Bombyx mori: one gene and its partner. The protein of the gene in region 1 purifies or fractionates together with the protein of each later gene. This does not show direct contact. Links are inferred from orthologs where the notes say so. Each region holds a gene or a part of one and is shown in the gene's direction. Other genes may lie near its edges.

The links. The genes of interacting proteins can lie anywhere in the genome.
Region 2: the proteins of E3 ubiquitin-protein ligase RBBP6 (region 1) and cleavage and polyadenylation specificity factor subunit 6 purify together in Homo sapiens (affinity purification with mass spectrometry; 3 studies listed by BioGRID and IntAct, with this or other methods). This does not show direct contact. The link is inferred for Bombyx mori from reciprocal best matches to the Homo sapiens genes RBBP6 and CPSF6.

Annotation. Positions count from the first base shown.
Region 1 is NC_085123.1:7,885,328-7,888,900, forward strand, and holds part of E3 ubiquitin-protein ligase RBBP6, read left to right. Parts: intron 1-51; coding exon 52-215; intron 216-823; coding exon 824-914; intron 915-1,333; coding exon 1,334-1,440; intron 1,441-3,573. UniProt on the Homo sapiens protein: E3 ubiquitin-protein ligase which promotes ubiquitination of YBX1, leading to its degradation by the proteasome.
Region 2 is NC_085120.1:8,924,757-8,928,329, reverse strand, and holds part of cleavage and polyadenylation specificity factor subunit 6, read left to right. Parts: intron 1-2,071; coding exon 2,072-2,287; intron 2,288-2,936; coding exon 2,937-3,048; intron 3,049-3,573. UniProt on the Homo sapiens protein: Component of the cleavage factor Im (CFIm) complex that functions as an activator of the pre-mRNA 3'-end cleavage and polyadenylation processing required for the maturation of pre-mRNA into functional mRNAs.

The DNA of each region.
Region 1 (3,573 bases):
GGTGTTATATCTATTGATTATATTTATTAAAATAATGTTTTTAATTCACAGTGAGGCTTATATGGCCTCTGAGAACTGTGCTGGTGATCCATCTGGTAGCGCACCCAGCGCTCCCGAACCAACCATACCGGATGAACTAATTTGTAGTCTGTGTCGCGATCTTCTCACCGACGCTGTAATGATACCGTGCTGTGGAAACTCTTTTTGTGATGAATGTATGTAGTACAAGAACGAATACATATCGACGCTTGAAAGGCAAACGTGACTAAGCGACAATAACTGCTTTATACATAAATGATAGGCAATAACCATATTTGATGCGCAAAAAATATATATTTCTAGGTCTATTAAAATCATTTCAATCCTACAGCTAGATTCGTTAAAATAGAATTTTTTTCAGGTATTTCAACGTTAAATTAGTCTACTGTAAAGTTCACGCATTGTCGCTTAGTCACGTTTGCCTTTCAAGCGTCGCTATATGAGTCGACTATTATCAAAGCCGGCAATGTGACTTTTGGACAATTATTGGTAAATCAGAAAAACGAATTATTGACTATGTATTCCATTGGCAGTCACAAAACACTTCTGAACGACATCTTAGATAAATAACAGGTTAAGTATAAACCTTTATTTAATGCAGGTTTTGAACCGTATTCTCTGAAGGAGACGATTATATTCAAATCAATCTGTATTGACATATCAATAACATTTTTTGTCCAAATGCACAGATTGCCACCTTTGATAATAGACGACTCATATATAACTTTCAATACAAGAGTCGCTTTCGTTGGTTATTTATAATGAAATTTTATTTTCATATAAGGCATAAGAGGTGCGTTACTGGAATCTGAGGATCATGAATGTCCCGACTGTCGGGAAAAAGAAATATCTCCAACAACACTTATTCCAAACAGGTACCACTAGTTACATAAATTCGATATTTATTGAACTAAAAAAACTGTTGAATGTTTTTTAAAGAGTACAAAGAAATAAATGTATATCTTAAATATGTAAGCCAGTTAACCCCATTATTATATTTCTTTAAACAAACTTAAAATAGAGAACGTACCGTTTATCGTATACCTTTTAGCATAAGGTTTTGTTTGTTAGCTTCGAATTTGTCACCAATTTCTTATTGATTTGATACAACACATATCCTATCCCTCAAAGCGGAGCGAACCATTATTTCGTGGCTGCAATAGACTACACTGTAATATCGGATTTATTTTTACCTTAATTAATTTGAATAAATAAATTAACAGATTAAATTTATGCATTTGTCGAATAGTAACAGCTAATTGTTGCTAATTGTTACTAATTGTGTTGTTTTTAGATTCTTGAGGAACTCTGTGTCGTCTTTTCGCAATCAAACTGGATACAGCCGGCGAGCACCTCATCGACCCTCGGTCACGCCAGCTCAAGCCCGTGCTCCGATAAAAGGTAAGTTCCTTTAATCACCTTATTTATTATTATGACCACAGTCTTTTTTTTTTATTGCTTAGATGGGTGGACGAGCTCACTGCCCACCTGTTGTTAAGTGGTCACTGGAGCCCATAGATATCTACAACGTAAATGCACAGCCCACCTTGAGATATAAGTTCTAAGGTCTCAGTATAATTACAACGGTTACCAAACCCTTCAAACCGAAACGCACGATATCGCACGAAATAAGTATGTAGCTACCGAGAACGTTCTCTGACTGACTTGATTTAAATTACGCAAACTCGGTTGTAGCGTAAGGAAGGACTGACGATGCTTCTGTAAAATAGATTAGCGATTTCCCAATAAAATAAATAGTTCAATAGATTTTGATAGTGTATAGAATCTTTCATCAGCGATTTATAGAAATTCACATCTCATTTTCTGTAAAAAAAAATGCCGAACTAAGTAAATATTTTCACGTTATATAAAATAAAATAAATTCTTCATGACCGACGATATTCGGATATCGACGATTGATTTTGAATGTAGTAAACAAAATCGTGTATAAGATTTATTGCACCACTTTTTGACTTTTACTACATAATGCTAACTTTTTTTTTTCTTCTAACTACGATTTTCTTATCTATACTATATAATAATAATAATAATATTATAAACAGGAAAGATTTGTTTGTTTGTTTGTATTGAATAGGCTCCGAAACAACTGAACCGATTTGAAAAATTCTTTCCCTGTTTGGAAGCTACACTATTCCCGAGTGACATAGGCTGTAATCTTTTTTGAAACAAAAAAGCAATCGTTACTAAAACTCTAATAATGTTACCCAAGGTGTAAAAATTTTTCCTAAAATATTTGCATCGCGAGCCCTGCGAAAACGATTGATGATAGAATAAAATAATGTACCTACTACGACTTTGTAGAACACATTATTATTTACAAAAAGTGTCGGGACAGCATATGTCTAACTATTATAGTTATGCCGCAATAAGTGTTCTCTTATTTAAAAAAAATTAAACAACGTCAAATACCGTTGAAATTTTTGTTAAAGACCCGAGCGGAGCCGGAGCGGGCCGCTAGTTATAAATATAGTTAAACGTACTTTGAATACCAGACGCATTCGACATCTACAAACTTCACACAAAAATGTTTGTAAGTTAGAAATAATAATAACAAACACCTAAATATTTGTATCTCAAAAAGTCCCTTAAATAATTATTTTTGCACCTGCGTTTTGAAGTAACGCACAAGCATCTTCGTGAAGGGGCTGATAAATTTATCCACTCTTAGCTTCGGTGTAGCCTCTTGTAACATTTCTGTAACTAATTATAAAAATCTTAAAAAATTCATACTTATTTTCTTTTAACTCATTGTATCTTTACTGTTACATACCATACTAAGGAAAATAATACGTCGTGTATTATCACACAAAGATAGTGTTTTTAGTATGTATATGCATTTAATTGAAAGTTTGTTTAGATCAAATCGTACATTGGCCGGTTTGGTCAGAAAAAACGATCAGGTGCAACACTTGGAAACTCCTAAACTTTATATGACAAATGTGATGTGGCTCTATGTTACAATAAGAAAAATAATTGCTTCAAAGTATTCCACACCACATAGAAGAATATGATAATATTGGCTCAATGTCACAGATATTTCACACTCCCTATTTTCCGAAATCAATTAACAAATAATAAAAATATATAAGTCGTTAAACGTAATTTATTTTAGAATTTATGATCTAGAGTTACAAGGTGTTAACTGATAAATGAAGGTAGTTTTTGGTTAGTTATTTTTAAAATAATCCTGACTACCAACTAGACCGTCACGGGGAAATGAAAGTTTCATTAAATGACACAAAATCAGTTCGCATATTGAAAAGTTGTGGTCTAAAGGATAAGACGCCCAGTGTATTTGTATAATGTGATGTGACCGCGTCGGCGTTCAAATCTCGCAAACAGGTACAATTGCTTTCTAATGAAATACGCACTTTACTGATAAAAGAATGACTTAGACAACATAGTATAAACAAATCAGGTGGGCCGTGTGTTCGTCCACGCTAGCATACGTACCTACCCATTCTATCTATGGGCGTCAGCCTTGACGCTCATTGCACTGAGTTCGACTTTCTG
Region 2 (3,573 bases), on another chromosome or scaffold:
TTATGCTTCTTTTATATTTTGAAACTATGATTGAAAAATGCACTCTTGCTATTTTACCTGGTGTATTGTACATTACGATTTGCATTTAAATTTAATTTTACATTGATTTATGCTACCCTCCCAATGTTACAAAAGGTGAAACTAAACAACTAAAATATTTTGTAACATAACATTTAAGTTAAATATGATTTTAGTTGTTTTAGTAATGCAATTTATTGTAAATTATTTCATGTGGAAAGCATTACATAACCTTTCATAATACTGCTAAGTTATATTATATTCTTCCGTTTGTTTTGTACTTCTACTTTTGAGGCTATCTGTTGTCGAGATAGAGCCAAATCGATAGCAAAAATATACAGACAGTGAGTTTTACAATAAAATCATATATATCATCATATCATAAAGATACTAGCAGTAGAAAATGAATATCATCAAAATCGAGTTGGCGTAGTTTACGTAGATGGATTCTGTTTGTGTACTTAAACAACACAGATTGCAGTTATATTTTGCATACAAGTAGATGTGGGTTTGGTAAGATTATGTGAGAGATGAAGTATGAAAGGATGTATAATCTTATTTATAATAGTTGATGTACTAATTAATATAAATACCATTTTTGCCCATTAACTACACTACAGTAACTTGCTTAATTATGATGTAACATGTCTGCAGCAACAAGTTTTGAAACCGTTTGTGTGATTTTGTACGCACACAAAATTTTGATATATCGTTCCGAAAATGTTGTTGTGTTTATTTATTGAATATCCATAAATTTGCGGTTTAGTCAGAAAAACAGTTACCTGTATCAGATTATTGATAGGCTAAATTAGCAAAAAAAAAAATAAACATTACATAGTCATCACATAGTACATAATAGAATCAGTAGTGTAAAATTGGCTATTTGTCCCGCTTGTGTTTGATCAATAAATTGGGATATTGAGCTGAAAGTTTTCACTTTCTGACATCCCCATCTGTAATGATTTGTTTATTCTTTTATCAGGTTTGTTACGAGGTAAGGTAATTGATTGTATTGTATTTATAGTTTTTTAGTAATTATTTTAACATATGTTTTGCTATTTTTTTGCATACATCTGAAGATTTTCGATACTTATGTTGAAGAGATATCAACATTCTTGTGCGAAATGTAGAGGCGAACAATAAATGTTGTAATACGTAACAAATAAAATAAATAAATTATATAACTCAAACAAATCGCCTGGTCCAAACTGTTTCGTCTGCTCTGTGCAAATTAATCTAAACAATAATGTAGGTAGTTTACAAAAAAACCCCGCGACATCAACTGATTGTGTAAATTATAAATAATATTTAACACTTTTTGTATGTGTGTATTTTAGAGTATTTATTTTCTTTGTAAAGGATACTTTCAACAGCTGTCGTTTCAAGTTTTGTTAATTGCATTAAATCTATCTAGTATCAGTGCATGGATACGATAATTTTGTTATCTGATTTGCACACAAAAAAAATCAGTGTGTGTTTAGCCACATGTTAAATTTATTTCTTCATTTGACTTGTGAAATACCATTTACAAGTAATGTGTTCATGTTATAATTACCTTGTTAATGGTTGTTTTCCTTCTAGTTTTTTTTCAGTATGTAACCGTTGGAGTATTCGGAGTTGTAAAAAAACTTTATAATGCAAATTATCTGTGATAAAGAAATAAATAGTATGATCACAAAAAAGCTCTTTCTTTTCACCCAAAGCTCTATTCCGGCATATTTAATGATTTAGTTGATGAAAAGTACATTGTAGATTTTTAATTCGCGTCAAAAGGTACACAAAAGTATTCAAAATATTTTTATTCACGTTAATCATCGGATCTACTATGAGACGTAAGCGCGGTGTTGTAAATTCACTTTCTCGATAATTCGGTGTTAATGAAAAAAATCTTAATACGGCGTGTGAACGGCGCTTTAAATTGAACCTTACCCCGACCGATTTTGTTTAAGTGGCATGTAAGTGGACTGGATGGCATAATAAATGATGTATGTGACTTGTGTGTATTGGCTGCCTGTTTGCAGCGTGGCTGAGTTTTGTGTAAAACCTTTTCCAGTGGGCAACGGACCAAGATATTGCGAACGCGATCTCGGATGTCGGTGTCTCCGATTTTCAAGATGTGAAGTTCTTTGAGAACAGAGCCAATGGTCAGTCCAAAGGATTCTGCGTTATATCTCTCGGTTCAGATCAATCAGTCAGGATGGTGATGGAACGTCTTTCTAAGAAGGAGATACACGGGCAACATCCAGTAGTTACATTGCCTACTAAACAGGTAAGGTCAATGTTAACTGATACAAAATATGAGCATAATAAGTAGACACTAGATAGATAGTTTATGATTAGGTACTTATGAATTGCACAAATAGTTTCATGATGAATATACCTAGTAACCTTTCCTAGTAATAGATTAGTTTCTGCAAATATGGTTTCGGGCAATGCGTGAGTCGCGATGAGGTGTTGAAACGTGGTTTAAATTAAAACAAAAAAGGAATTTACATTTTTTTTAATAATGGATCTAAAGTGGTTAATAAACCTTTTGCAACATTAAAGCTTTCAATAATGTCCGAATCGTTTTCACGGAGGCTACTCATTGAAAAAATCCGAAAAGAAAATTTTGAATCTTAAACCACCGCGACTTTGTAATGGTTATGGAGATTGGCTTCTGTTAATTGATTTGCAAACCATTTGGTAAAATTGAGGAGTAAATAGCTTCGGCCATATGATAGCTATTGACTTCCACATGGTTTTGAGATGGTGGACAGTAGTATCTAAGTTAGTATTTGTAATTTTTTTGTCCATCGGTAATTAATATAGTCTACCGATATTAATCAAAATAATATAATAGTTTTAGCAGCGTAGGAAATATATAGATGAATTAATTCGGTTCAGTGAAAGTAAGTAAACTTTGATAATGTCTACAGGCGTTGAATCAGTTTGAAAGTCAGTCAAAGACCAGGTCGACGCCTCCTGGTCCCAATAATCCTGGAATGAGAGGACCCCATCCAGGCGGGCCGCCTGGTCCTCATCCCGGAGGTACATATTGTAATCGTATACTAATACGTCTCGATAAAATATTCGAAACATCAAAAGTAGAAACATATCATTATTATTCTAAAGTCGTCGTGGCCTAAAGGATAAGATGTCCGGTGCATTCGGAGCATTACTCTAGCGATACACCGGTGTTCGAATCCCGCAGGTGGGTACCAATTTTCCTAATGAAATATGTACTTAACAAATGTTCACGATAGACTTCCACGGGGAAGGAATAACATAGTGTAATGAAAATCAAACTCGCAAAATTATAATTTGCGTAATTACTGGTGGTAGGTAGGATCTCTTGTGAGTCCGCACGGGTAGGTACCACCACCTCGCCTATTTCTGCCGTGAAGCAGTAATGCGTTTCGGCTTGAAGGGTGGAGCAGCTTTATAACTATACCTTAGACCTTAGAACTTATATCTCAAGGTGGGTGGCGCATTTACGCTGTAAATGTCGATGGGCTCCAGTAACCACTTAATACCAGGTGGGTTGTGAGCTCGTCCACCCATCTAAGCAATTTT